Tamandua tetradactyla: one gene and its partners. The protein of the gene in region 4 interacts with the protein of the main gene of each other region in a pairwise test. Links are inferred from orthologs where the notes say so. Each region holds a gene or a part of one and is shown on either strand. Other genes may lie near its edges. The genes, in order: DHX15, SF1, SAT1 and RBM17.

Region 1 (8,007 bases), on a different chromosome or scaffold from region 4:
AAGTCTGCTTTCAAATAATATTGTGCCATTTAATGTGTAGTACAGGTACCTTATAAGGGAATATCTCCAATTCCTCCCTCCCATTCCTGATAACAGTGCTGTCGTTCACTTCACTTATCCATATTCTATAATCACTCAGTGCAGTTTTACTGAAAAAAACTATTACTGTTTAGATCATTAAGAATGAGAAAAATAAAAGATTTTACCTTCATAACTGTTTCTTTAATGTTCTTCCTTTCTTTATGTAGGTTCAAGTTCACTATCTACATCATTGTCCTTCTCCCAGAAGAACTTTTAATATTTTTTTTTTTTGCAAGATAGGTCTGTTAGAAGTGGATTCTCTCAGTTTTTATTTAACTAAGAGATCTTCATATCTCCTCTATTCTTTTCATATCTCCTCTATTTTGAAGGATACTTTTGCTAAATATAGGGTTTTTCTCCTGTCAAACTTTATTTCATTCCACTCTTTTCTTGCTTGCCTAGTTTCTGATGTGAAATCTGCTGCAAGCCTTGTCCTTGTTTCTCTCTATTTTTTTCTCTGACTTCTTTCATGATTTTCTCTGTCTTTGCTTTTCTGCGATTTGAATATGATATGCCTTGCTGTTTATTTCTGGTATTTATCTTGTGTGATGTTTTCTGAGCTTCCTGATTTTGTGATTTGGTGTCTCTCATTAATTTTAAAAAGTTCTCAGCCATTATAACTTCAAATATTTCTTCTTTTCCTTCTGGTACTCCCAGTATGTATATATCCCACTTTGAAATTGTTCCATAGTTCTTGGATATTCTGTTCTGTCTTATTCATTCTTTTTTCTCTTTGCATTTCAGTTTGGGAGGTTTTCATTGACCTATTTCCAAGTTCACCGATTCTTTTCTTAGGCATATCCCATTTTCCAATGAGCCCATCAAAGGCATTCTTCATTTCTATTGCAATGTTTTTGTTTTCTAGAATTTCCGTTAGCTTTTCTTCTAGAGTTTCTAACTTTCTACATATATTACCCATCTGTTCTTGCATGTTGTCTACTTTTTCCACTAGCACGCTTGTCGTACTCATAGTTGTTTTAAATTTCTTGTCTGATAACTCTAAATTCCTGAGTCTGCCTGTAATGTTTGCTTTTTCTCTTCAGACTGTTTTTTTTCTTGCCTTTTAGCATGCCTCATAATTTTTTGTTGAAAACTAGCATAATGTATTGGGTAATAGGAATTGAACTAAAAAGGCCTTAAGCTAAAGTGTGAGGGGTTTTTGTTTCTTAATATCCGATCTTATTTATTTGTAACACTTAGAAAATCTTATTTTGGACTGGACTCAGTCTTAGAAGCTCTCAGAGAGGACAGCCTCCATCTCTTGGCAATCTGTTCCTGGCATTTTTCTTTGGCCTCCTTCATTTTCTTGGCCAAAAAGCTTAGCATATTCTGTAGCCTCTTCCTTATTTTTCTTAGTAAGCTGTTTCTTCAGGACAATATGTCAGCTGATGCTTGTTGCAGGACACATGGAGTAATGTTGACTCTTGGGTGCTTTGGTCTGGGTTTCTTACCTTCTTTGTTCAGGGGCATTCTCGTAACATAATGGTGGACATTATCTTCTTTAGAGAGAATGAAAAGTTTGCAGATTCTGCTGGCTTTTTTGGGCCGCAGGAGACAAGGCACAGTAGTATCAGTCAGTCCAGAAATTTCCTTCTCTCCTTTTCTTACAATAACCAAGTTGAGAACACCTAGATTGGCATCCACAATGCAACCCTGAACAGATTTGTGCTTTCTTTCTCCAATTCTCCTTGGTCTATAACAGGAGTGCCCCTTCCTCAGTAAAAGGTGGACATGGCCATGGGTCAAGACACCCTGCTATATGGGGAAACTTTGTCGTTTCCTTCACTGAATCAGATGACATAACCCTTCCACTCTTTGCCCAGAGCGTCAGCAGCAACTTCTGTGGTCATTTGCTTCTCATAAAAGGTACATAGTTTGCGTTTATCGTCCATTTCAGTGAGCTTCTGGCAGCCAGTGGCTGGGAAGATGTTCGATTTCATGCTGAGGCAGTTGACTGCCTCCTGAGGTGCCACAGAAAAAGAGTTAAAGTGTGAGATTTTATGTTAATTTGGCTATGTGTGGGGCTGTGTTTGATGTTTGCTGTGGCTGTAGGTGACAGAGGTTTCAAATTTCTCAGGTGTCCTTGTTTAGTCTCCACTGTTGATTTCTGATCTTACCTAAGAACTATTTTTAATATGGAATTTGCACCTTGCAGTCTTTTCAGCTGTAGCCCACTCTTGTAAACCCTGCAGATGTGATGAGAAGGGGTTGTGAAGGTAGAGTATTCTATAATATTACTATTAAATCTCAGTCTTTAAAGTGTCTGTGTCACTGAGCTGGGAACTTTACAAGTGTTTCTTAGCTCCCTTCCCCCCTTAGGTAAAACAGGAAGGTTAGAGAGGGCTTCAGAGGGAGAAATACCTTATCTTAGCTGAGATAAGGTTCTGGTTAAGCCTTGTCCCTGAAGAGTAGGCCCCTGTTATGGAGAAAGATCTGGGCATATTTCATCATGGTTACTCTTCCCTGACCCTGCCAGAGTCACAAGGCCTCTTTCTTGGCTCTTCATTGTGATAACCTGGAATGTTACTGGAGATAAAACCCATGGAAATGTCAGGGCTCTCCTGAGAGTGAAGTCTTCAGGAATTTCTTACTCTCAAATTAATCCACACTCAGCCTCTAGCAATTTTCCAAAATTACAATTTAGGTTTTCTACCAGTGGTTCCAGTGGCTTCTACTCTAGGTAAACGAATCTAGGCTGTCACTCTTTGAATTTGCCCATTCCTCCTGATTTCAAGGTGGTGGTTGACACTGCAGACTCAATTTCTAATGGGTTCAAGAAAAATCATTAATTTTCAGTTTGCTCAGCTTTTTCTTCTGGTAAAGATGGAGTAATGACTTCAAGCTCTTAACGGTTGGAGCTGAAATCAGAAATCCCTCCCCAGGTTGTTTTTGGTTTAGTATCTTGGCTGGGATGGAGGAGGAACAGTTTCATAAGCACCCACGTGGCTTTCCCCACTATTATAGCTCTCTTACTTCTTACAGGTCAAGAATTCAAGATGTGGGTTGTGCAAACTATCAAGGACATCTATTCTAAGCATATATTTAGAGATCGGTAACATGAAAGCTGGGTGGGTATGAGAACACAGTGTACCTACTGTGAGCTGGGTCTGAGACAGACTTCCATGCAAGACTCTTATATGCTCTCACTACCATATGCATGCAATAACACTCTGGGTGTCACAGTATATCAGTGTTGATTCAGATTCCATATTCAATTGTCCCTGAAATATTCGTCCTTTCCCTGGCATGGCTACCTAATTAAATGGCCTGCGGGAAAGGACTGGGGGAATCGTTTCTGTGTACAACTTGTTATGGTGTTACAGCGTCCTTTCTCCTGGGGATCCAGCCTTTCCTTCAGTCAATGTATTCCAGGTCCAAACTTTGGTTCAGGTTCAGAAATTGAGCAAGGGATCATGACTTTTTAGTGGGGAAACTACTGTCAATATCTTGATCAACCACTCTTGATTTACTTTGGTTGTACAGATTGAGGACTTCCTTTGATTGATGCCCACCTATTAGCTCTAGGCACGCCTTATTTTATTTATTGTCCCTATGACCTCTGTGGTTTAGGCCCCCTTGTCTGTCACTCCTACCTTGTAGCATCCACCTAGGTTCTGATGTCTAAGTGCCACCATGTGACCTCCAAGTTATGTGGTGCTAACATCCTTCCTGCTCTCAGGGAGCCCAGTTCTGTATTGGGATCTTCCACGATTAGCCCTAGACTATAGAGAAAGCCACCACTGAATTTCTGAGTGGAGCTGGTGGCTTTCCCACCAGTGCATTCTTTATTGATGTGGTAGGCAATGTATCCTTTGAACTCTGTGGAATATATTCATTTGCTGGGTTTTCTGGCCTTAGTAACTATTTCACTCTGGCATACTTAGGGCTTTTGCTTAGGTTGTTTCCTCTGCCTGGAACACTTTTCTCCCACTTTGGCTAATTCATATCCATTTTTAGGTCTTCTTTGTTAATGTCACTTTCTTAGAGAGATCTTTCTTAACCCTCTCAGTCTAGATGAGGGACACTGGTTATATGCTCTCATAACATTTGTCATCTTTAGTGGGCCTCCTTACCACTCACCACAGCTTTAAGGACAGAATTATTTATGTGCTTAGCTGTTTAATGTCTGTCTCTCCCTTTCTGATAACCGTAAAAAGTGAGTTATCTTGCTGTACCAATTTGCTATTCCTTTAGCGAAATGGCTGTGCGATTTTGAGTATGCTTCTAAACTTCCCCACCCCCACCTCAGGCTTTAGCTTCTACATCTATAAAACAACACTCATCTTGCAGGATAACTGCAAGAATGAGAGATAGAGAGATGATTAATTCTGTGGCAAGCACAGAATATGCATTTAGGGAAAAAATGCGAATTATCCCCTTACTGCCACTTTCCTCTATTACAGCAAAATGTCTATAGGTCAAACACACGTTGCCTGTGCTGGGTAAAGAAAGGGAAAAATGGACCATAGCAAGCCATGACATTTTCTTATCTCAATTTCCTCACTGCAATTAAGAGTATGTGGTGCAGAGGCTGCAAGTTCTAGCTTTGGAGTTATAAAGAGTTGCTTTCCGATCTTGATTCTGCCACTAATTGTGTGATCTTGGTTAGTGTCTCGTCTTCCCTAGATCTGTTTCCCAGGCAAGGTTAAAACAAACGGGTAGGATTTTCCAACTAGGACTAGACTGTCCTCGTACAGAGGGGGATGGGAAGTCTGATGCAGCGAGTAAAGACCTCCGGTGGCTTCACAGAACGAAGAAGGCGCAGGGAAAGTAGACGACGGGGTATGGGAAGAGAAAGCAAACCATTGAGGTGGCAGGCGGAGCCTAGGTTGCCGCCTCTGGGAGGCGGGCGCGCGCACCACGCATACACGCATAGCACGCACGCCGCGGAGGCGCGCGCGCAGGCCCAGCCCTCGTCGCCGCCGCCATTTTAGCTCCTGGTTCCGGCCGCACGGTGTAAGCTGTTGTAGCGGGAGGGGTGGGGGTCCTTGAGAGTTAAGTAGCTGTCCTCGACTGCGCCGTTACAGCCGCCAGCTTCTTCTTTTTCTCTTGTTTCGTAACTGCCCCATCAGAGTGTGCGAAGATGTCCAAACGGCACCGATTGGACCTGGGGGAGGATTACCCCTCCGGCAAGAAGCGTGCGGGGACCGATGGGTAAGTCAGGCCAGCGGCGCGAGGCAGAGGCTCGGGCTTTGTTGGGGTCGCGGCGGGCCGGCGCGGAGCGGGCCAGAGCCGGCCAGGCCGAGCGGGCCCGGGAGCCCTAGCCTTTGTTTCTTTATGAGCTCGACTTACCAGCGGCGGGTCAGTGGGAGCCGCGCCACTCCCAGCGTTCGGCCCGACAAGGGCGCGGGGGGAATGTGTGTGTGTCTGGGCCGCCGCCCGGCCTTGTTGGGTGGGGATGGAGGCCTGTTGTGGCCACGAGAGCGCCTCCTCTGCCGGGTCGAACCGAGCGAGTCATTTCGAAGGGGGCGGGAGGGAACTGCAGACCTCGTGGCCTCGGTTCTTGGGTAAGGCCTGGAGCTGAGGGGTGGGGGGAGGGTGCGGCGGGAGAATTCCCTTCCAAGGGCATTAGGTAATTCTCAGGCAGAAGGGTCGGGGAGAGGGCCTTTGGGGTGGGGGTGGGGAGGCAGTTGGATGCTGAGGGAAGGGAGAGGCGGAGGGTGGGAAGTGAGAGAAGCGCGTGGGTTCTTGTGTAGGCTGGGATGGGGGTGGCGGGAGTTGAGTGTGAGGCGTGTAGCCGAGGAGTTCTCAGGGGAGGGAGAGTGGAGGGCCTGTGGTGAGAAAGGAAAATGTCGTGTATACCTGGCGGGCTGGGAAGGCTTGTGGGACCGAGAAGGCTGCAGTTCACAGTTTGGCGGGAGAGAGCGTGCCTCGGTCCATTCAAACACTTCGAAGTAGATAACTAGGCAAACTTCCGCTCTCTGCTAACCCTCCCGCCATCTCCTTTATTTCCTGCTTTAGTTATTGGGCATCCAAAGGGCGTAGGAATTAGAAGGCATTCTTTTTTCCTGTGAGTTCTTATTTGTCGATGTTTTCTTCTCCTTTCCTAAGAGGGTTTTGTAATACGGAGACCCTTTTGAAAAAATGGTTTTTGTATTATGGCAAAATACCGCTCGGGAGTTAGTTTGAGGGTTGAAATACTTACAGACTCATCATGTTTCTACCTACTTTAATTTGCGTTTTCTTAAAGGTACATAAGAATTTAACAATAAACTTTAGCAATTGCATCAGAGTTATTACTTGTCTTGTGTGTTTTCATTCCCGAAGTACCAAAATGTATTTTTAGATAATTCACGCAAAACCACGAAAGCCTGACATACAAATACTTTGCATAATTTTGTAATTTTACTGTATGTGTGCACAGAATTACTGTCAAGTTATCTATATAGTTTTTGTGAATTTTTGTTAATCCGAAGCCTTGACCTGGATTGGTTGCCAGGTATACTGGGAAGGAACAGATGCATATATTTATGTTAGTGTGTATGTCCACTAACATAAGGTAAGAGTACTTTTTGGTGTCTTCCCATATATTGAATTTCGAAAGCAGAAGTATGTCGTATTTTAATCTTGTATATTCTTTAGTTTACAGCATTAGACATAAGTTTTCATTCCCCCTTGTCTACAGTCCTTCCCACCCGGAAGGAAAACACTAAAACTTTAGCATATTTGAGCCTAAGTTCACAGACTCTTAGACCTGATTGGGGCTTTAGATATATAGTGTTATCTGCTGTAGAAAAACACTAAAACTTTAGCATATTTGAGCCTAAGTTCACAGACTCTTAGACCTGATTGGGGCTTTAGATATATAGTGTTATCTGCTCTACTCAAGGGATGAGAAATCGAGACCCAGAGTAAAGGTGGCTTTTGCAAGTTTGCACAGCTGGATCCAGCACCCCGACCTTTCATTTTTACTCTTCACCTGTTGCTTTTTTCATTACACCGCACAGCCTATGGTTGTAGTTTAACCATTATGGTCTACTTTAATGACATTTATAATGGGTTGGTAAAGTAGGGAACACTTGGTTCTTGATGCCTCTGAAGCAAAAATAAATTGCTTATCATCTGGCTTGTGTCTCACGAGTTTTCACATTGGAGCAAGACATTTATACTGGGAAGGAACAGATGCATGTATTTATATTGGTGTGTATGTGCACTGTTTAAAATGCTTTCCTTGAGGTTAGTGGTTCCACGGTTTGTACAAAATGGGTATCTTTAATAAAAATGCCTACTGTTTGGGCCTATGTTTGTGACCTTATGATTCCCCTGTATAGTGTTTAACGTCTACGTGTAGATGAAAAAGAATTAAACTTTTGAATAATGCCTAAATTCTAAGAAACAAATTCTGGAGGGCAGTTTTTATACTTAAAGATCTCATTCTTTAGAAATGTGTTTACAGTGTTTTTAGTGCTCAGAATTTTTTCACACTTGGTAATTTTTAAAAAAATCACTTTTATTGACTGTCTTTCCAAATGCTAACCTGCAATTTTTTTTAAAGCCCTGATAGCATAAGTGGTGATATCTGAGAGTATAGGCTTGCCAATGTTTTGAGCTCCACTGAGCAACAACAGGACTGTCCCACTTCTCCAGTTCTGGTAAGGAAGGGTAATTTGGTGGGAGATTCGTGCTCATATTCATGCTCCCAAACTATATATGACTTTTTCTCTATTTGAATCTTGAGGTCAGAGAAGTTGCAGGTTTATTTTACATACTCGGGCGTTGTTCCTTTTTCTATCATTCCACAGAATTTTCTATATAGAATTATTACCAAAAAAGATAGTTTCCTGTTTAAGTATAGAAAAATGCTTTTTGAAAATGGGGATATTTTTCACTTTGATTTTAGTTTCTGATACTATTTCTGCATAAGAGCATTTCCTTTTAATTGTAGAAAAGTGGATCCTTATACTAAAAATATGATAGCATAATATA
Region 2 (7,234 bases), on a different chromosome or scaffold from region 4:
CATGATAAAACTCTATTAAATCAAGGAGGAGCAAAGCACAAAATTCACGGTGGTGGTCCTCAGAGGGCACTGGGGCATGGGAGGAGGGAGGACCCAGGAACTTGCAAAGCTACTGGTAGTATCTCGGCTCTCGGGTGGGGTGGCAGGTTCAAGGGGGTTCAGTTTGTAACTAAGTTCCTGACCCTCAGGGGCACCACACATCTCTTGTTATGCATCTGATATAATAAAATGCAATTCTAAATATTTAAAAATAACTAAAACCCCCCCACAAAACCCTATAGTGGCTAAAACAAAACAAAAGTACCAAAAGAATCCTTTCTTAGATGATGAAAGACTGATGAAATCACCTATGAATCACATCTGTGCTCTGCTTTACAGAATTGTGGGTAGAACCCTTGCCCTGTGGCTGCTGTTATTTCTTTAAAAAGAAAAAAACGCTTTGAGGCATAGCTGATGTACAGTAAGCCTTGTGCTATTTGATGAGTTTTGACATATGCATACACCCATGAAACCATCATCATAATCAAGATAATGAAATACATCCATCACCCCCCAAAGTTTCTTCCCTTGGTAATCCCTACCCCATTCCTTCCCTGTCTCCAGGAAACCAGTGATCTGCTGTCACTATAGGTTAATTTGCACTTCCTAGAATTTATATAAATAGAATCATACAGCACATGCTCTACTTTTCTCTGGCTTCTTTCACTTGGCATAATTATTTTGACATTCATCCATGTTGTTGTATGTGTTAATGGTTTATTCCTTTTTACTGCTGAGTAGTATTCCATTGCATGGAGCTTGTTTAGCCAGCGCTTACTGATGGGCACCTGGGAGTGATTCCAGTTTGGGACTATTACAAATAAAACTGCTGTGAACATTCATGTACAGTCTTTGTGTCAATATATACTTCCACTTCTAATGGGTAACTACTTTGGAGTGGAATGGCCGGGTCATATTGCAGGGGAGTATTTCAAGAAATTGCTGAACAGTCTTCCCAAGCAGTTGCAACATTTTACATTCCCACCCAGCAGTGTAGGAAGAGTTCCAGTTTCTCCTTGCTAATACTGTGTCTGGTCAGTCTTCTTAAGTGTGCTGTATTTACTGGATAAATATTTCCTTTTCAAAACCTTTTTTTTTTCTTTTTCGCATGGGCAGGCACCAGGAATAGAACCCGGCTTTCCGGCATGGCAGGCGAGAACTCTGCCTGCTGAGCCACCGTGGCCCGCCCTTCATTTTCAAAACAATTTAAACATCACTTCCCCCCTTTATTGTCTGCAATATTAGCTTCATTTTTTTTTTTTTTTGTTTATAGGAATCATACTTGCTCCTTACAAAAATAAAAATAATAAAGTATAAGGGAAAAAAGCAAAAGTTACGTGAGATTCGTGCTACTAGAGATTGGGACTGTCCATTGTGAATCTATGCCTACAGAGTTATACAATGCTATATAAATGGACTAGTGTCACACATATTCTATAAGTATGAAGCATATTAAAAAAAACTATATTGGGCTCTTAAAATGTGTTAGATAACTTCCAGGCTCACTTCTCCCCCCACTCCTGCATCTTCACTGAGAACCAGTGCTGTATATCCTTCACTAGCTTTTCCTATACAGAACCCTGTGCGAATGCCCTTGCACACATGTATGAGGTTTGTTTTGCAAAAACAAGATCAAGGAATATATATTTCTATGCTGCTTTTCTCATTTAATAACACTTCAGCAGGAAAGGCCCTCCAAGTCAGTTGGTAGTGACTAACTCTTTTTCAAGGCTGCCTAATAGTCCAGACTGTGGATAGTCCAGTTTGTTCAACCATTCACATACTACTGGAAAATCACTTTGTTTCCAGGATTTTGCCACTGCAAACAATTCGAAGTGAATGACTTTGAACACATGATGCAATCACATGCTTCTCTATGGGATTCAAAGGGGGGTATCTGGTTTCCAAAAAAAGGAAATTTATCCACCTTCCTTTTTTGCTATTTATATGAAGAGCCTCATTGTCGCCATAATTTGCATTTCCCTCTTAGGACTGTTGCAACCCTTTCACATTTCTTGGCTATCTGCTTTTTAGAGATTTGTGAGGATGCCAAATCTTACCTGAGGGCTGTGATCCCGGAAAACAGCAAAAGTTAAGAAATCCCCCCACTCTGTGCTCCGGAAAAAGGGCTCACTGCAAAGAACCCCCCTTCCGGAAGTGATTTAGATAAGACTCCCAGATGGTATGGGGGACCGGACACAGACTCTCCAAATTCTCATTCTTCAATTCATCGCTGGACTGATCAGAACAAAATGCCTGTTAACCAAACTTTGGTTAAGCTTCTCTCTTCCTCCAGCACCCTGAACTTTAGCCCATCCTCAGCCGGAGCTAGCACAGTCCTTCCTGGAAACAGGCTGGCCTTCGCCTCCATTCTCTGATTACACCACTCTTTTATCCCACTTCCCCACACCTGGGTCTACACCCCTCTCTCGGAAAGCCTCTTAGCCTAACTCTTGAGACTCTGCTGAACCGGCAGTCAGTGTTCTCCCTGTTGTATATTCTCTTTTCCTATACTCTTGCAATGATCCTTTCAAATAAAGTCCTTACCGGCTCTGGACTTGTCCATCTGACAACTGCCCATTCAGGCTCTTTGCTCACTTTCTCTGATTAAGTTTTTGAGTTTTTTTCAGAGTTACTAGTTCTTTATCTGTCATACGTGTGGCAAATGGTTTTTCTAATCTGTAAATTTTCTATTGACTTTTACCATACAAAGTTTTATATTTTTTTGATCAAGTATGTCTTTTTTTTTTTAATCTTTACTTTATGGTTTCCAAGTTTCCTGTCTTCATAAAGTCAACTCCTAGAATATTTTTATAAATCTGCTAAGTTGTATTCTAGATGTTTGATCATTGTTTATACTTAAGACTATACCATACATTAACTAAATCTTCTTCTGCCTGATTTGAAATACTACCTCAGGTATTTCTACCGCTATCTGGGGAAATTTATTTCAGGACTCTACTACTTTCCACTTTGTTAACGCAACATCAAATTGTTTTCACTCCTGAGTTTATATACCAATGCTGACAATCTGGAAGGCAAGACCTCAGTATTTTCGACAAGTGGGAAACCACGATTTTCAGTCACTCTTCTATATAACTTTAAGGTGATGTTATCAAATCCCGCTTCCCTCCCCACCAAAAAAGAACCCAGTTGGGATTTTGGTGGAAAGATTATACATTCGTGAATTAATTTTAGAATCACAATTTTACAGTGTCTTCCAGCCAAGGTTATACATTCTTGCATCGGCTCAGGTATTGTTTAAAATCTTTCACCAAGACTTAAAAGTTGTTGTTTTCTACTTATTTTTTTAAATCTCCTTTTAACCAGCAGCGTCAACGGATCTGCGGCTGGGGCCCGCGCCGGCCCCTCCCCGCGCCCCACGGTTCCGGGTTACCATAGGGATCTAGGCCTGACGTCACCGAGGGCTTCCGCGCCAGGCCCCGGGGTTGACCGCAAAGGGAGTGGGGCAGAGAGGCGGCCCCGGCATTGACGCCTGCGCACTTCCAGCCCCCGTCCTTTCCGCTCCACCCCCCCCCCCCCCCCGCAGAGTCTCGTTCCCGGGCTCCTCCGCCGCGACTTCTCCTCCAATCCAGCCGAAACTGCCCCCTGGGGGAGGGGAGAAGAAAAGGAATCAAACGAGCTGCAGCCAATCCTACGACACTACGACGCAACCTAGTTTGATTGACTCAATCAATATTAGCCAATGAGGGAGCGCCTCAGCCTCACGTCACAGAGCTGGCCCCACCCCGCACCTTCTTTCCTGGACTCGGGGCTCAGTTCGCGCAGTAACAAATGAAGTGAGTGCCGCGACACCTCTCAGCTCACGAGGCTCCGCCGCCATTTCCTTTCTTGGCCTAACGGTTCGGCCAATCCCAGCGCACATCGAGAGAGGCAAGGGCTCCGCCAATCCGGGGACGCCGATCCCGACCCCTGGCCTCGGTCTGGGCCAATCAAGGCCCCGGCCCCGTCGCCCCCGGCCCGCCCCCGCGGCGCCCTCTCTCCTCCCTCTTTGTGCGTCTCGCGCCGCCGCCGCCGCCGCCGCCCGCCGCCCGCCGCCCGCCGCGTGAGAGGACGGGCTCAGCGCGCTCCGCGGCAGCGCAGTCGGGTCCCCTCCCCCCGGGAGATTCGCGAAGAAGAAGCCGCCGCCGCCGCTGAGGAACAGCAGCCGCAGGCGCCGGTCCCCGGGGGCGCCATGGCGACCGGAGCGAACGCCACGCCGCTGGGTAAGCTGCCCCCCCCCGGCATGCCCCCCCTTCCCGGGTCCAAGGGGGCCTTCGAGCCGGGGCAGCCGCCTGCCCCTGGGCCTGGGGCGGGACTGCCGGGGTCCGGGCCGCCGCCACCGCCGCCCGTGGGATCGATGGGGGCCCTGACCGCGGCCTTCCCCTTCGCGGCGCTACCGCCGCCGCCTCCCCCGCCGCCGCCCCCCCCGCCGCCCCAGCAGCCGCCACCGCCTCCCGGTTCTTCGTGCCCGCCTCCGCCGCCGCCCCCTCCTCCTCCTCCGCCGCTCTACCAGCGCGTGTCGCCGCCGCCACCGCCGCCACCCCAGCCGCCGCGTCAGGACCAGCAGGCCGGCCGGGCCGGCGGGGGAGGAGGTGAGTCGGGCCGAGAGCGCGAGAGGCGTCGCGCGGACCGGCCCGGCCGGCTGAGGGGCGCGCGGCAGTGGCGACGGTGGCTGCACGCGGCGGGGGCGCGCGCGCGCGCGCGCGAGGAGACCCGGGCGGAGGCGCTGCAGGGAGCGCGCGGCCCAGTACTCGGAGCCTGTAGCGCGCAAGCGCGCTGATGGGAGGCGGAAAGGGTGGGGGGGTGGACGAGAGGTTTGCTGTGCGCAGGCGCAATGTGGTAGCCAGGCCTGGCAGTGCAACTCGAAAAACGGGAGGCCCTTAGAGTAAGGGACCCGTGGTGTGGCGGGGTGCTGGGTGTGGAGGCCGGGTAGGCGTGGGATGGCCACCTGACAACGGGGAACGTTCCTTTCCTGGTCCTAGAATTTGGGCACGTTAATAAGTGGCCTGAAAGGGAGGGAAGCGAGCAAGGCCACTCTCCTTACAGTAAGAATTAAAAGGGCTGGGAGTCAGGGGATGTTGATTTTTTTGGCTCTATTTTTTTTTTTTTTTTTGGTGGTGGGGGGAGAGATTCTTTGGTCCACTCTGCCTTAGCTGTTATTTCTTAGTCTCTCACTTCATTTGCTCCAGAGCTCTGTGTCTGATTGCCCCGCCTTCCCTTACTGTTCCTTTAAAGGGTCTTCTCTGGAGACCTGTGTCCTTTGGGAAATAGTTTTTGCGTGGTGAAGAAGTTTCTGCCTTTGTGTGGGGGAAACAGTGTTTGGCTACTTTTGATAACTTTTGTTGAGTTTGTAATACATCTATTCAGAGTTCAAATTGTGAAGGTCTTGGCAGGGAAAATTGAATGCTAGTCTTGATTAACCATTGGAAGAAAAAAATGATCTAAATAGAGCTTTTTCCTTTACTAGTGTGTTATGGTAGGTTGTGTTTTGGGTGCATTCAGGAAGAGATTGGTGAAGGTGGAGATGGGAGGAGGCAGCAGTTCTCCAATATTGCTTTAACTTGTTCCTAATTCTCTACTTTTGTTTTCCCCTGGGGCCTTTCAAGACTTCATGACAGATGTAGTGTGTATTTTCTCAACACTTTATTTTGTTATCTGAAACTTTGTGCTTAGATTTGTTACCTTGTATACACACCTTACATTGTTTTTATGGAGGAAAATTCTAAACATGAAATGTTTACTTCTTTTGACCCAGATCCAGGCAGAAGCCATATGTTTGCATCTGAGTTATGAGGTTTATCTTTGCTAATTAAATTTTTGGTTAACATTTCAGTTTCACAGTCTACCGAGATTTGTGTAATATCCTAAGTATCCTTAACTGCCTATTGGTAGTTACTCTGCTGGTTTATATTTGCATCTGATGGATTTTATCTCCTTTTAGATTTCCCAAGTAAGAAGCGGAAGAGGAGCCGCTGGAACCAGGACACAATGGAACAGAAGACAGTGATCCCAGGAATGCCAACAGTTATCCCCCCTGGACTTACTCGGGAACAAGAAAGAGCTTATATAGGTAAATACACGTTCTGCATACAAATGCATTTTCATACTGTTATTCAGAGCAATATTTCTGTCTGTTGGAAACTTGAGGTTTTAAAGTTTTCTATTTTGAGAAAGCGCTATGTTCAGGTGTACTTTCAAGACTTTCACATAATACATCAGTTTTTACTTAGTGGGTCCTGCATTTGCAGCTCCTTGTTTTGGTCTGTTAACACCATTGTTCTCCTTGAGTGCCAGGAAGGTAGAGGGGCCCACTTAGGAGTGAGAATAGTTCCCAGGCCAGAAGGCCCCCCTCCCCCACCCCCCATCCTTTTCAGCTGCTGTTCAGTTTCCTTACCAGTTGATGAGGTGAGTGCCTTGTGCCTCTGGACACAGCCCCAGTGGCGAACACTGCAGGTATTGTAAACTCAAGTAATTTTTCACTCAGCATGGCCTTTCACCATAATTTCATATTCCTCCTTTTCCCTAAAATGTGGTCTTTTACTTTTTATAGGTACTTTCTGAGGGGGGGACTCAGTTTGAACAAAAAGTGACTCTGAAAGTGTGTTTACAGTTCACCCATTTTACCATTCTGTTGACCTTCCTGTCATCTTTTCTGGTGTGGTTTTTGGAGAGCTATCTTAAAATGAAGGCTCTTGTATCATTACTAAAGGACTCTTCTGAAAAAGGGATACTGCTTCGAAATGAAATGAGGTGGTAGGATAAAAGATCTTAATTGTTGGGAAATTTCAAGATTTAAGAGTGACTGTCCACAGTTAATGGAAATTAACTTCAGGATTACCTTTTTTTTTTAACTACAAGGGTTTTAATGCAAGTTTTACGTTTACCTGTGCTGCTGTCTTAGCAACATTTATTTGATAAATATGATTTTCTACTAACCAAATAAACATCCCCTTGTGAGGAAATTAGGGCAAAGGCCTTTTACTTTTAGAGTTACGAAGCTCTGTGGCTGTCAGAAAACTTCAAGACCAGCATGTTATTTTTGAGAATCCTCATTTCCTATGTTTTTTAGACTACTGAGAATTTTGAGGCGTTGGAATTGTCTTCTTTTCACAGTGCTGCTAATATTTTTTCTTTTCCCACTGTTCCTATCTACTCCTACCCACCCCTCTTTGGGTCTTTTCATCATTTTGTG
Region 3 (7,352 bases), on a different chromosome or scaffold from region 4:
CCAAGCAAGTGACTTAGAATGACAACCTTTAGTATGAGGTCAAATACTAGTTGACTCAGTAAGTACTTTTTGGAAGGCAGAGCTGAGTGCACTAGTATGGCAGAAAAAGAAGGAACTGAATGGTCCAAGATGGCCTTACTTATACTTACGGCACTTGGTACTAGCTCAGCTGGACCCCTTTCTCTTTTGGGTCTTTCATCCTCAAGGACGTTAGTTCAAACTTCTTCATATGGCAGCAATATTCTGAAAGGGTGTGAGCAGTGGCTCTAAGATCTCTTGAGGCCTTGCTTAGAAGCTATGCAATACCACATCTACTGCATTCTCTTCGTCAAAGCAAGTCACAGAGCTAGTCCAAAGCAAGGGGTGGGAAAATACACTCCACCTCTTGATGAGAGGAGTTACAATGAATTTATGGCCATTTTATATCCACCATACTGTATATACTACCTGAATATCAGCCTTGTGCTTAGAAAAGAAGCCTGGAAGAAAATCAACCAATTATACAGATTAATTTTTGTAAGCCTTTTGTATTTCTACATATCTCAAAATTTAAAAATCAGTATGCATTACTTTTATAACATAAAGAAAAATATGACACTTTCCACAATAATTTAATGGAGCAGGCTGGACAGTTTCACTTTGGCATCAAAATGAACAGAGTTCCTTCTTTTCTAGCTCTTCCACTTCCTGGCTTTGACAACTTCTTGACCCCACTAAGCCTGTATTTTTCAACGGCAAAAATGGAGATAACTTTACCTACTTCACAAGATAGTTGTAAGGATCAAATAAGACAATGAATGCAAAATGCCTAGAAAAGTGCTTAGGTGTTTTTCCATCCCTTTGTACTCTCCCCTCACTAGGTCCTCCTCAGTTACAGTTCTTTTCCTCACGAAGATTAAGTTTTGTTGTAGTAAATTACACACATGTCTCCAAAATTAAACTGTATACCCTGAGGACTGGATTCAAAACTTAGTAATCCTCTATAACTTCAAAGTACCTAGCACAAGTCTGATATGTGCTCATTAAAACCTGTTGATTCGTGGACTTATTAACCAAATAAAAGTTTTCCAAATGCTTGGTAGTTAATCCCTTTTTATGCAGGTTTCAATATAAATCCTGGTATCAAGAGGGAGTAATGGTTCATCCCTACTGCTGCTATCTATGATGAAATTAATCTAAAAATCTCAAAAGCACAACTTGAATCACTGCCACGAAGAAAATTCAAATTACTTAGGATTCTAAGCTTCTACAGATGCACAGACACACTCACGATGGGATTTTTTTAGCCACGTGTTTCTCAGAATGGGCTTTTCTTGTCATAAGGACAAAGCGATGCATAAGAGCATGAAACTTAAACTGGAAAAACAAAATACATTAAAAGAAATAAGAATGCATTTTAATAAGACAAACACTATTCTAAAATACTAAACAACCCAAATAGGAAATGGTCTTTTTTTGCTCCAACTAGGCAGCCATCATTAGTGCTTAGTCATGGAGGTCTAACTCACTGTTATCAGTAAATCTGTAGTAAGTTCCCCTAAATCCTATAATATTTTAGACAGAAGCAGAGGAGGAAAGGGCTTCTGAATGGTCATCCATGAGGTGTAGCCCATAGTGTCAGGAAAGATCCTACCAGCAGTAGTTTAGGCAGATGAGAATCAATCCTATTTTTAAAGAATTTTGAGAAAGACATGTCACAAATTCCCATGGTGATTCACTGGGCGTGCAATCCTGGGAGGGTAGGATGAGAACATATTTTTGCCTTTTCTACATGCAGATTATTGCTAGCAAAGGCAGAGAATCACTTCTTGCATGTTAGGGTGGTCACTTAGTAATAGTCTGCCCTGTCATCCTACAGACTGAAGACACTGCAGGCCCCTTTTATGATTTTTCTCATTGCGAAAATCATCCTTTAACTCATGGCTGAGCCCAGGCAGGGCTGCTGGAACAGGCCTCTCAGCAGGGTCTGCTTGGAAAGGTGGGTGTGTAAAAGAAAACTCATTCTGCAGAGGCTCGCATTCTTGTTCAGTGAGTACAACCCAGAAGAAAACGATGCACTATGTTCTAGTTTGCTAGCTGCTGGAATGCAATATACCAGAAACAGAATGGCTTTTAAAAAGGTGAATTTAATGAGTTGCTAGTTTACAGTTCTAAGGCCAAGAAAATGTCCCAATTAGAGCAAGTCTAAAGAAATGCCCAATCAAGGGCATCTAGGGAAAGATACCTTGGTTCAAGAAGGCCGATGAAGTTCAGGGTTTCTCTCTCAGCTGGAAGGGCACATGGCAAACACGGCATCATCTGCTAGCTTTCTCTTCTGGCTTCCTATTTCATGAAGCTCCCTGGGAGGTGTCTTCCTTCTTCATCTCCAAAGGTCGCTGGCTGGTGGGCTCTCTGCTTTGTAGTGTTGCTCTCTCTGAATCTCTCTGAATCTCTCATTCTCCAAAATGTTTCCTCTTTTATAGGATTTCAGAAACTAATCAAGGCCCACTCAAATGGGTGGAGACATGTCATCCCCTAATCCAGTTTAACAACCATTCTTAACTAAATCACATCAACCAGGGAGATGATCTCATTACAGTTTCAAATATACAATATTGAATAGGGATTATTCTACCATTAAGAAATGGGATTTATATCAAAACATGGCTTTTTCTTAGGGGGCATACTTCCTTTCAAACCAGCACACACTAGTCCAGGGGTTCTCAAACATTTTGCTACCATGGCATTTAAAACCTGAGGGCCCCAAAGAGCTTACCTTTGAAAATTCTAGAAAACATAAGAAGAATATGCAAGCACATATTCCTTAGTTATCAGAGTGCTGATGACATCAAACAGCTGTGAATTTATACTTGTTTTGAAACAGAAAGTTAAAAAAAATTAAAGACGCACAGAGGATGAAATAAAGTTTATTTCCTAAATATAGGATTACATATTTTTAACTGCAGTTACAGAAGGAGAGAGAAATGGAGTAGAGGTAATATAGGAAGAGTTACTGCCTAAGAATTTTCCAAAATTAATAAAAGACACTAGTCAGTCGATTCAAAAAACTTAATGAATCCAAAGAAAAATTTAATTTCTAAAGATCTATTCCAACATCCATCAGAGAGAAACTGAAGAACACCAGATACAAATAAAAGACACAAAAATACTCAGCAGGAAAAAAAAACAGGTATTAATTTTAAAAGAGTGACAACGCACTTTTCAACAGCAATGGAAGGCAGAAAATAGTCCAATGATATATCACTATGTTGAAAGAAAATAACATCTAACCTCAAATTCTATAAGCAGTGACCAAAAAATCCTTCTAGAATTTTAAGATGAATTAAAGACATATTTAGACAAAACTGTGAAAGTCTGACAAAAGACAACGTTCGAAAGGAAATATAAAGAATTTACCTGAGGGAGAACGAAAGTGTTTCCAGCGGGAAGGTCAGAGATTTAAGAAGGAATAAAAGGGGGGGGTAAGAATGAAACCATTTTGTTAACTCTAAAAAAAATTTACAAGTATAAGAAAACAATGACTGAGGAACCCAAATAGCTTACCTTAGAAATTTCTAGAAAACACAAGATTATACAAGCACCCATTCCTTTAGTCATCAAAGGTATGACTACAACAGATCAGGTGGCGCCGGGGAAATTCCAGTGAGAGTAACAAAAAGCAAATGACGTCTTTCTATTACTATGAAAATAGTTTTGTCATCGTCCCGGGACCACACTTTGAGTGCCGTGCTTTAATTCTTCTCCAACTACCCAAGGCCAGGTCTCTTGGGTTTGCTTCACCGACTGCAAAGAAGGTTGGGGGCGACAGGGTGAATTCCTTTCTTCACTTTTGCAAAGGTTACCCCGGGGCGCACGAACCCCGTGGTCGGGTCTCGGGGAAGGTAACACACGGCACCACTAGAGGGCGCCGCCAAGCAATCCTTTCACCACCCCTCCGCCGCCACCCCCGCTCAGGCCTGCGGCGTTCACACGGTCCTCCAGACACCAGGGCGATGCCGGGAAAAGGGAACGGTGCCCCAGGGAAGCGGGAGAGGCGGATGGGGGGCGGGGCCGAGGGGCCGACCGCGGTCTCATTGGACGAGGTGCCTTCGCCTCACGGCCCTGGGCGGGGCTTCCTCGCGCTCAAAAGCTCTGCTGGTTCACTGCCGGGACGCGCAGTTTCAAGTCGCAGCTTCGCGGAAGCTCCCCCGCCGCTACCTTGGTTCGCTGGGTCATGGTGCCAGCCTGACTAGAAAGAGGAAGCTCCCGGGAGACGAATGAGGAACCACCTCCTCCTGCTGTTCAAGTACAGGGGCCTGGTCCGCAAAGGAAAGAGAAGCAAAAGACGAAAATGGCTAAATTCGTGATTCGCCCGGCCACCGCCGCCGACTGCAGTGACATCCTGCGGCTGATCAAGGTAGCGGGAGGCCAGGGACGCCTCCCGGGGCGAGGGTTGAGGCGGGGGCCGAGGGGGGGCGTCGCTCCGTTTCCGGGAGGGTCCGCGTTTCCCAGCCTGGGCTGGTGTCCAGCCAGTGCTGCCCCATTCTCCGCCCACCTCCCCCAGTCCTGGCCCGGCAGGACTCAGGGGGACGAATCGCCACCCCTCCCATCCCCGCCTCATTCACTGGTCGTCCGCCCTCCCTCGACTTGATCCGCCCCTCCCCGAATTGGCCGGAGCCTCACTTTGTTTTCTGCATCTCTCCCTTTCTCTTTTCTGCCTCGCCCCAGGAACTGGCTAAATATGAATACATGGAAGAGCAAGTACTATTAACTGAAAAAGGTAACACGGCAGTGGGGAGGAGGGGAGGAGACGAACGCCCAGTGCCGGGCACCCTCGCCGAGGCCAACACTGTCCCTGCTGCCCCTTTTTTCTTGCAGATCTGCTAGAGGATGGTTTCGGAGAGCACCCCTTCTACCACTGCCTGGTTGCAGAAGTGCCCAAAGAGTACTGGACCCCGGAAGGTATCCACCCAACCCCTTGCCAGTCAGAGACCGAGTGTTGTGTAAAACGTAGCGCCTGCTATGTAGAGCCACTGACTACACAGGTCGAGTTACTTATTGATAAGTCGGTTAGGAATAATAGCCAGCCAGTGTTGAGGAAAAAAGAAAAGAAAAAAAAAAACCGGAGATGTGCTGCACTTAATAATAGGGCGGGTGAAAGAGCTGTTTAAGTATCAGAGCACTGCGGAAACCCGCAAAAGTTAGGTATAATGTCATTTGTTGTAATTCCGTTTCATAAAATGGTTCTTGTTTGACCCTAACGTAACCTTTTTTTGTAATTGTGTTAAATCACATTTTTTTCTTTAATTTGTCCCAATCTTCAGGTTACAGTCTCTAGCTTCGCCATGTACATGGCCCTTCCGTGTACATGGATGGGCGGGGAGGTAACTAAAAGATCCTTTACACAATAAAGTAGATGATCATGATAAATGAGGTAAGGTCCTATTATCACACACTTAAAACACGGTAGATCAGAAACTCCATTACACTTGCTTCCTGTGCTTGCAAAGGAATATAAAATGGCTAGAAAGTTTTAATTTGAAACCTTTGCCTCCCTTTGGAGTTATAGACACCCATAAGAGGGAGTCAGATGTTTTGTTTTGTTTTGTTTTGTTGCTGGTCCCTGTTAACTGGTCACAAGACAGAGCTAAAAAGGGGAAGTTCTTTGGGTGGAAGCTTTCTTAAATGTTTTCTGAAGTTTGTTCCCCAAGCTAGAAGAAATGAGCAGAAAATAGGAGGGATGAAGTACTTTTTAGATGTGAATGTCAAAGCAGCTTTTTCTGGGTACCACTGCTGCTTCTGGCCTCAAAACTGGGGAGAACAAATTGAAAATGTGTGAATTGGAAGGCAAGTTTGGAAATGAAAACGTTGAGTTTTTGGCCTGATGTTCTGACCTTAAGGAAGCAGAGTTTCGAAAAGTACAAGTATTTACTATTCTGAACTGCCGTGTAAATCTGACTTACTTCAAGTCAACATACCAGTATATCAGTGGGATGTAAATAATGTGTGTGTTTCGTTTAAGACCCTAGCAGTTTAGCTCTGGCAAGTAATTAAAGCACTCTCACTTCCTGAGTGAGATCCAGCAGATCTCAGAGTGGCTAGTTCCCTGACCTAGCCTGGCTTCAACTAGCTTTAATGTGTGCTTTTGCAAATACATGTTATGAAAACAGTGAGATCATCCAACAGTGGCCCGGACTGCACTAGTATAAAAGTTAAAAGACAGTCCATTTCAGTGGCTACTCTTCAGTATTTATGCATGTATGTTTTTTTATACCTATGATAGGCTTCTAATTTTGCAGCTACAACTTTGATGGATTATTTTTCTTCTCCATTACTCATATGATACTCTTAATTGCAGGACACAACATTGTTGGTTTTGCCATGTACTATTTTACATATGACCCATGGATTGGCAAGCTATTATATCTTGAGGACTTCTTCGTAATGAGTGATTATAGAGGTATGGTTGAGTTTGGGGCTGGGTCAGGGGCAGTTCTAAGGGGAAATTTAGGGCTTTAAGTCCTTAAAATGACTTTAAAATTGTATTCTTTCTTTTAGGTTTTGGCATTGGATCAGAAATTCTAAAGAATCTAAGCCAGGTATGTCTTAGTTTTGGGTTTCCAAATTAAGGGTTACTGGATTATTTTAATGACTGAATCAAAATTGGGTCTTGGAGAGCAGATAAGATGTCACTGAGTTTCTATATTACTCTCTCTTATAATAGGTTGCGATGAAATGTCGCTGCAGCAGCATGCACTTCTTGGTGGCAGAATGGAATGAACCATCTATCAACTTTTACAAAAGAAGAGGTGCTTCTGATCTGTCCAGTGAGGAAGGATGGCGACTCTTCAAAATTGACAAGGAGTACTTACTAAAAATGGCAACAGAGGAGTGAGGAGTGCTAATGTAGACAATGACAAGTTCCATTCTACTTAGAATAAATTTTCAACCTGTCTTGCTTTCTATCCTGTTTGTAGTAGAGTAATAGAATGAGCACCCATTCCAAAGCTTTATTACCAGTGGCGTTGTTGCATGTTTGAAATGCAGTCTGTTTAAAATGGCAATTGTGTATGCAGTTTGGAGTCATAGTTTTCCTTGAACATCTTTTGATTAAACAAGGTGGTGTGATCTTAATATATATGAAAAAAACTTCACTCTTGTGAGTCATTTAAATGTGTACAATGTACACACTGGTACTTAGAGTTTCTGTTTTGATTCTTTTATAATAAACTGCCCTTTGATTTAATTGTTTGGTATGAGCATTTTTATTAATCCCCTATTTCTTAAATATTTTTTCTTGCTGTTGAGTGCAAACAAAAATTGGCAACAAATATAACTTTACAATTGTTTAAAAACAATTTTTTAAATAGTTT
Region 4 (8,083 bases):
CCCAGAGCACTAAGTCTCCACAGGGAGCACAGCAGCCCCAGAGCCACCCAGACCTCTCAGAGTCCCCTTGGACAAGAGATTAACTTTTCTTGTCTTAAACTATTGAGGTTTTGGTGTTTGTTATCACAGTATGATCTAGCTCATCTGGACTGATGTGGTGTACTGTGTGGTCTGTAAAAAGAATGAGGTAGATATATATGTGCTGAAATGGAAAATATCCAAGATATCTTAAACGAGAAAAAGTAGAGACATAACAATACAGAAAATTATTCTAGTTGTGATTTTTGTAAAAGTTATCTATGGAAAGAGAAAGATTTCCAGGTGAAAGAGATTCAAAGAGACATGCAACTTGGACTGGATTTATAGCAAAAGAAAACTTCTTTTTTTTTTGCTATAAATAACATTAGCAGGGCGGGCGATGGTGGTGCAGTGGCAGAGTTCTCGCCTGGCATGCTGGAGACCTGGGTTCGATTCTCCATGCCTGTCCATGCCAAAAAAAAAAAGAAAAAAAAAGGACATTACCAGGACAATCTGTGAAATTTGAATAAAGTCTATAGATTAGATAATCACATTACATGAATGTTTGTTTCCTGATTTTTATAACTGTACTTTGGTCATATGAGAAAATGTACTTGTTTTTTTAGGAAACACACTGAAGTATTTAGTGGTAAAAGGGCATTACATTTGCAATTTACTTTCAAATTGTTCAGAAAAAAAATAGAGAAAGAAGATGGTACAGTAAAATGCTAATATTTGGAAGTCTGGATGAAGGGCTTATGAGTTTTTGTGTTATTATTATTGTTTTCTATGCCTGAAATGATTTCAAAGCAAAAAGCTAAAACTCTCATACACACACACACACACACACACACACACACATGCTATGAAACTATAAAGTATAATGATCTCTGGGTAGGTGGATGGTGGAATTCAGAGGTAGAAGAGAGAATTTTACTTTTCTTTGGATACCTTTTTATTCTATTTGAATTCCCCAGAGTTAGTAAGTGTTTATGGTTTTCAGACGCAAAGTTTGAAGTCATTTGTTTTGTAGTGATAATTGTTCTAATACCAAGGGACTCCTACCAAAATAGAAACTGCTGCAGGAAAAAGATTAAACCTGAACCCAAACCAAAAAAGTAAGTGCTTTAACAAAATGAAATTATAATGAGAAGGGAAATTTCAATCATAAAGTATGACTTTCAAACTTTCAAATAAACTAAAATAAAATTAGAAAAAAAAAGAATGACTTCTCTTCTTTCTCATGAACCAAATTTTAAGTGTCCTTAAAAGTTTAGCCCAAGGCTCACTTTTTCTCTTAAGTGTCAGTTGAGTCAGAGACTTTGGGGTGAGATAGATACCGTGTTCTCATCATGACTCTACCACTTGCTAAATGCCCCTGGGAATGTCATTTCACCTAAGTAAGCATCACTTGTCAAATGGGAATAATACAATCTCACAGAACTGTTAAGAGAGTTATCTAAATAAATACCAGGGCCTCCTCCCCAGTCTGCCAGGAACCTCTTTTCTTTTCCTCCAGGTCCAGTTCATGTGTGAGGTAACCAATGCCCAAGACAAAAAAAAAAACACTGACAAAAAAAAAAAAAAGATTATTATACTTTCCTTTTAAGAGCATGTACAGGGATTTCCATGGTGTTTGTGGTAGATGGAATTATGGACCCAAACAAACATAGGTTCTTAATCTTAATCCACACACCCATGGGTGTGAACCCACGGTAAATAAGACCTCCATCTATTTCTTCTGTTCAACAAATCTCTGGCCCCCAGGAAGGAGTGCTGTCCACAGCACAGTGGGTTGTCCATCTCCTGCTGCAGACTGGGTAGAGAGACAGCTAAGGACCTACCTTCACTCATACTAAGCGAGATTTTAATCTCCTACTAGTTCGAGCCATTGCCTGCATTTCTAAAACAAAGTTTCTTCTACTGAGACTTTGGTACCACCCTTTCCCAGCCTTTTCCACATCTCCTTGCCCACTGGCTTTCCCATGAACCCACAACCCAACTCTCTCTCTCTCCCTAGTTGTGTTACTTCTGGCTATTTCCTTAATCTGTCTAATCCTTTCTTTCCATGCCATCTTTCCCTTCCACCAAGACTGAGAGCTGCTGAGGTTGACCACCTGCATGAGCAGGCTCCGACAATCAGAACAGCCCTTTAAGAAAATTTTGGGTTTCACAGGTGAGCCTGAACCCAAGAATCAGACCTATTTATAACTCTGAACTTAAGCCTGACTAAATTTGAACCAATAATCTGGATTTCATTCCAGAAAAGCCTCCCCAACTTTAGGTCACCTCTGAAATGGAGTTGACCTCCATAAGCCTTAGTCTCCAAGTCAACCCTAGAAATAAATCCTCTGAACCCAGGAAGGATCCCTCCAAAATTGTGACTGAGCACTCACTGTAGCCCTGAGCACTTTGTCTTACTTTACTCCCGAGGCTTTTCTCTGCTCTAAAAGAGGGCAGATCCCCAGCAACCCTGAGACTGGCCTCAGCCTAGGACTGAGAACTTCTGTCCCAATGTACTTCTTTGTGCTAATATTTTATTTAGGATTTTTGCATTGAAAATCACAAATGACAAAAGAATAAAATTTTCTTTGGGCTGTATCTGTTGGCTTTAAACAAGGCATTTGGAAGTTTTCCTCCTTAGTTTGCTCAGTAACAAATAGCACAACAGAATTTGTTGTCCCTAGGCGTCTGGTAAAATTGCCCTGTGGATATATCTGGACCTGGTACCTTTTTGGAAGGTAGTTCTTTGCCATTCTCTAAATCTCCAGTGATGATTGGTCTGCTTAAATTTTCTAACTCTTGTAGCATCCATTTTGGGGAAATTATATTCTCCTAAAAGTTATCTATTTCATCCAGACTTTCAGATTTGTTTGATAAAACTGAACAAAGTCATCTTTTAAGATAAGTTACTTTTCTCTGTATTTGTGGTGAATTCCCCTTATCATCCAATATTTTGTATACTTGTGCTTACTCCCTTTTTTCTTGTTTAATTATCAGCTCATCTATTCATTTCCAAAGAATCAGTTGTATTTATTGCTTAATTTCATGTTTTTCTGGTTTATATACCATTATTTTTGCTCTCATCCTCATTAATTACTTCCTTCTGCTTAAAAAAAATGATTTTGTTGTTCTATTTCTAAATTCTTCCATGGGTGCTTCATTCACCCAGTTCATTCTAATTTTTTAAATTAGTGCAAACATCTAAAACCATAAATTTTCCTCTTAGTATTGTTGTAGTTAAATCCCATGAGTTCTAGTATGTCATTTTCATTTCTGTATTCTTCTATATATATTACACTGTTTTGATTTTGTCTTCCTTTTGACCCAAATATTATATAAGCATTTTTAAATTTCCAAGGAGTAGGATTTTTTTCTGTTACTAATGTCTAGTTTTACTGGACTGTGATCAGATAATATCGATATGGTTCTACTCATTGGAATATATCAAGTTTTGTTTGTGGCCTAAAATATGGTCAAATTTTGTGGATATTCCATGGATGCTTAAAAAGAAGCAGTAATCTCTGTTTCAGGGTACAGAGTTTGATATGTTAGATTTATCATATTAGCTACATTTTTAGGTCTTCTCTACCCTTATTTACTTTTGTGCCCTTAATCAGTCATGGACTGTACCAGTGGTTTCCATCTATTAATTCTCTTTACATCTCCTTTAGTGTTTGCTATGAATAATGCAATTATGTTCTTTGATGCACAGATTCTTTTTCCTTTACTGTGAATTGTACCCCCTTATATTTATTAACCTCCTTATGTTCCCCATCCTGAAATCAAGCTTGTGTAAGACTAGGTTTGTGATCCCTGAATTCTTTATTTCTGGTATATCTTTTCCATTCTTCTATTTTCAAACTTTCAGAATCCCCTTATTTTAGTATTCCTTCTCAGATACAATACAGAATTGAGCTATGTCTTGTGCTCCAGTTTGAAGTTGCATTTTTTGATAGGTGAGCTTAACACATTCATGTTTACTAACATGAGATATTTGGTTATAGTTCTGTCATCATCTTATACTTTCTGTTTTGTAACTTTTTCAAATATCTCACACTTGATTTTGTTTGTTTTGTTGTGTGTTGCTTGATAATTTAAAAGGTTTGTGTTTTTATTCTGGTTTATCATTATATCAATGACAAGATGTTCTTAATCCTCTATTTAGAATCTCTATTGACTCCCTACCTTACTTCTTTCTTTTTCGCCTTGCCCTCCCTTTTCTTAGTCACCGGGTTTTATATGATTATATCTTATCTTTTTTTAATGTTTCTTTGTACTAAAACATATGCTTAAATCTATTATTTGATTTAGCTTGAAATATTTTGACCCCCAATTATAAGTCTGAAAATAAGCATATTTACACCAAACCCCACTTTCTTTTTCCCTTCCAACTTCTGTAGTCATGTAGTTTTAAAATTGTGAGGGACTATAACATTTACTTTCATTTCTGCAATCCCAATCCTGAGGCTTATAGGCAAATCAATTCAATGCTCACTGCCATTTATTTTGCTGTGAATATTTCCATTCATCTCGTCTATGGTGATTTATTTTTAGTTCTTTGCATTAGAATGGAGAACCAGAAGAGATTCTCTCCTTTACCCTGTTAGAAAACAGTTAGCTATCGAGAAGATCGCGGTTGTCCTGGACCATTTCTTCTTCTGCCCATCTGGGGTCACTGCCACTTTCTTCTACTATTTAGATTTCAATAACTTGCGCCACTGCGACACCTTTTGGTGAAAGAAAGAGACGCTGGCGGAGGAGGGAGAGCAGTACCGACCTCCCACCGAGAGGTGCCGCTGCAGACGCGGCGCCGTGGCACAGGCGTCCCCTCTCTACTGGCGGCGCACGCTCCTTCATCCCCGCGCCGCGGAGCCCCTCCGGATTTGGCGTAGGAGTTGGCGCTGACTCCGTGGCCCGGTGTCGTCGGCGGGCTTACGCAGGGTGCGTCTCCTCTTCTGGCCGCCGCGCTTCCGGGCTCGGTACGGAGCTTGCGCGTCTCGGCCCCGGCTCCGTGGTGCCGCCACTCCGGCCCATGGGGAAGGTCGTCTGGGCGAGCCGGGTAAGTAGCCCCCTCGTCGCCACCCCGCCGGCCTGGCTGCGAAGCTGGGGCGGGAGCGCCAGCCAGGACCGCGCCGGACGCGAGGCCGTAGATTAGGCCGCGCCGCGCAGGGGGCGGGAGGGTCCGACATCGCCAGCCCCAAGCTGAGGGCGATCTCGTCCTCCAGCTCTCAGGCCCCGGGTTCCCTGCGCTGAGCCCATTCGCGCCTTGCCCCTGGCTTCGTTCCCAGAGCTGCTGTCGGGAGCCTCTGGCCCGGTTCTCCTCCTCCTCCATATTCTCTTCTCTCCGCCTCCAAGCGCAGCACCTTTTCGTGCGTTTGCCACTTTTTTTTCTCATCCTCCAGTCCCAGTCTTTCGTACTCTTACTCTCTCCTTCCTGTTCTCTTTTATCTGCCAGTTTCAGTCTTTCGGGGGCTAAAGAACGTTCCTTCTCTTCGTTGATCATGTGTGAAAAAGTTTGTCGGTCCCTTGACCCTGTTTCCAGGGCAATATGTCACCTGTGCCCAGCACTCTTGTGTCCCTCCAGGACTCAGGAAGTGGAGAGGATAAAACCCATTTCCTCCCAGAACTTCGAAACTGGGAATTCCAGATGTCAAAAAATTGGAACCTACCTGGGCAAGTGAAGAAAACCATGACTTCCCCGTTACCTTGGTCCTTGTCATTTTACAGTGGACTTGTAAATTGTCAGGTCCTGGTTTTAGCTCTGTTGTTCAATCATCAAACATTTTTCGAGCATTTACTCTTACCCAGACAGTATGTTATCAACTGTGATCTACGAATATGTCGCTACTTTCATGAAATGTGGTCTCTAGAGAAACTAGGCATGAAAACCCTACCTGGGTTGATCTGAGAGACTAGAGTGGGATCTGGAAAGACTTTCGAAGTGGAGCTGATACTTATGCTGATTCTTGAAGGGTAAATGATATTTTTTTAACCCACAAGGAGAGGAAAAGGTTTCCTGCAAAGGAAACAAGTGCAAAAGTACCAGAAAGGCGAAGCACCATAATACTTGGGTAACTGCGGGTAAGGCAGAGAAAAAAGTTTGAGGAGAAATTATTTGGAAGGTTAGTCATGTCAGACCATGAGGGGGTCTTTGAGAAGTAAGGGAGGACCATCAAAGGTACTTGTCAGATAAGCCAGGTATGAAGTTGGAAAATAGAATATTGAAGATAGGATAAGATTCTACATACACTCAAATAGACCATGAGAACCTGTGTCCCTGCCACAGGTAAAGTTTTTAAACACTGCCGGTCAGTTTCTACATTTTTGCTACAAAAAGGCCACACATTTTGAGTATAATAAGGATTTTTAGGGAATATGGAGTAATAAGTTAGTAATGCAAACCAAGAGTTTTATGATTAGAATTTATTAAGCGGTGATTAGGTACTGCAGAGAAGAGTAGGTTGTGATATTAACAAAAACGTAAGATGGAATAGAAGTTAATAGTGAAGAGCGATTCTGATTGTGAAGTTCTGTGGCAACTAAAGATAGCCTTTATGGGAAATAAGAATTTTCAGAGAATTGTTAAATGTCCCCCCAAAACGTAACTTATTAAGGTGATTCTTTACCCTGTTTTAGTTTATCTTCTTATTCTTCCCTGCAAGTGAATTCTTCAGACCTCCCCTTGCAGGGAAACAGATGATCCAGGGTTAGTAATCCCTCAAACCTTTCATAATAGTAAGTGATAGAAGATACTCAATTATACACTTTAATTCCAGGTGACTCTAGTGGGCTTTGTCTGCAGTGTACTCCAGTCTGTGTCATTTTGGTCAATAAGTCTATGAAAATGAATGGAAATATTAAACAGAATGAACATGTGAGAGTGGGAGGTACAGGAAATTTCTTTTAAACTCCTTTAAAAAGTTATCATAAATGGGGCAGTGTGACGGTGGTTCAGTGGCAGAATTCTCGCCTGCCATGCCGGAGACCTAGGTTTGATTCCTGGTGCCTGCCCATGCAAGAAAAAATAATAAATAATAATAATAATTAATGTTATACATGAGGCATAAACCTTTTATAGCTGTATTTTTTGTGGACAACAAAGTGCATCACCCCTCATGGTTTCCTTCTTGTTCCTTTCTGTGTATGCTTGCTGTATTCTTCAGGCTTCAAAGAGGAGGCTTTGGTTTTATGATACATAAATATCTATGTAGTGATAAAAAGGTTTCTTGCCAAACCTTCTTTAGGTGTTCAGAACTCAGACCTTTGTTGTGGGTTGTACAGTAGTAGTAGTTTTTCTCACTTTAATTATGTTAATACAGTTTAAAAGTCATCAAACATATTAAATTTCATTTCCTGTAAGATATGTCTTTAAATACAGATCTGCAGATCTTATGGATGTTAATAATGTGATTTAAATAGATGCTGTGGTAGTTAGGTTCAGTTGTCAACTTGGCCAGGTGAAGGTGCTTAGTTCTGTTGCTGTGGACATGAGCCAATGGTATGTGAACCTCATTTGTTGCTCATTACATCTGCAGTCGGCTAGGAGGTGTGCCTGCTACAATGAATAATGTTTGATTTAACTGACTGGTGCTTAAATGAGAGAGCACAACGTAGCACAGCCCAAGCTCAGCATATCTTATCTCAGTACTCAGCCCAGGCCTTTGGAGATACAGAAAGAAATCACCCCGGGGAAAGTTGTTGGAACCCAGAGGCCTGGAGAGAAGGCCAGCAGAGATCACCCTGAGCCTTCCCATGTAAGAAAGAGCCTCATTTGAAAGTTAGCTACCTTTCCTCTGAAGAACTAAGGAAATAAATCCCTTTTTATTAAACGCCAATCCGTCTCTGGTGTGTTGCATTCCGGCAGCTAGCAAACTAGAACAAATGCATTAGCATTTTCTATCTATTCTGTGATACATTTAGAAAATATTTATTAAGTGCCCACAATGTTCTGACCATGATGCTAAACTGGAGATACAAAGATGAAGACAAAAACAGCCCTTTCATTTACAGGGCTTATAATGTAAGACGAATACATAAACCTGTAGGCAGTGTATCAGGTAGG

What was found.
Region 1: the proteins of RBM17 (region 4) and DHX15 interact in binary tests that used the Homo sapiens proteins (3 or more experiments, as listed by UniProt). The link is inferred for Tamandua tetradactyla from reciprocal best matches to the Homo sapiens genes RBM17 and DHX15.
Region 2: the proteins of RBM17 (region 4) and SF1 interact in binary tests that used the Homo sapiens proteins (3 or more experiments, as listed by UniProt). The link is inferred for Tamandua tetradactyla from reciprocal best matches to the Homo sapiens genes RBM17 and SF1.
Region 3: the proteins of RBM17 (region 4) and SAT1 interact in binary tests that used the Homo sapiens proteins (3 or more experiments, as listed by UniProt). The two-hybrid records come from large-scale screens. The link is inferred for Tamandua tetradactyla from reciprocal best matches to the Homo sapiens genes RBM17 and SAT1.

What each region holds. Positions count from the first base shown.
Region 1 is NC_135345.1:24,465,608-24,473,614, reverse strand, and holds the start of DHX15 (ATP-dependent RNA helicase DHX15), read left to right. Parts: upstream 1-4,981; 5' UTR 4,982-5,164; coding exon 5,165-5,235; intron 5,236-8,007.
Region 2 is NC_135335.1:9,769,362-9,776,595, forward strand, and holds the start of SF1 (splicing factor 1), read left to right. Parts: upstream 1-4,089; 5' UTR 4,090-4,234; coding exon 4,235-4,634; intron 4,635-5,983; coding exon 5,984-6,112; intron 6,113-7,234. UniProt on the Homo sapiens protein: Necessary for the ATP-dependent first step of spliceosome assembly. Binds to the intron branch point sequence (BPS) 5'-UACUAAC-3' of the pre-mRNA. May act as transcription repressor.
Region 3 is NC_135353.1:150,556,033-150,563,384, reverse strand, and holds SAT1 (diamine acetyltransferase 1), read left to right. Parts: upstream 1-4,130; 5' UTR 4,131-4,330; coding exon 4,331-4,396; intron 4,397-4,707; coding exon 4,708-4,759; intron 4,760-4,857; coding exon 4,858-4,941; intron 4,942-6,337; coding exon 6,338-6,439; intron 6,440-6,537; coding exon 6,538-6,578; intron 6,579-6,703; coding exon 6,704-6,874; 3' UTR 6,875-7,337; downstream 7,338-7,352. UniProt on the Homo sapiens protein: Enzyme which catalyzes the acetylation of polyamines. Substrate specificity: norspermidine = spermidine >> spermine > N(1)-acetylspermine. This highly regulated enzyme allows a fine attenuation of the intracellular concentration of polyamines.
Region 4 is NC_135333.1:57,822,163-57,830,245, reverse strand, and holds the start of RBM17 (splicing factor 45), read left to right. Parts: upstream 1-4,855; 5' UTR 4,856-5,080; intron 5,081-8,083. UniProt on the Homo sapiens protein: Splice factor that binds to the single-stranded 3'AG at the exon/intron border and promotes its utilization in the second catalytic step. Involved in the regulation of alternative splicing and the utilization of cryptic splice sites.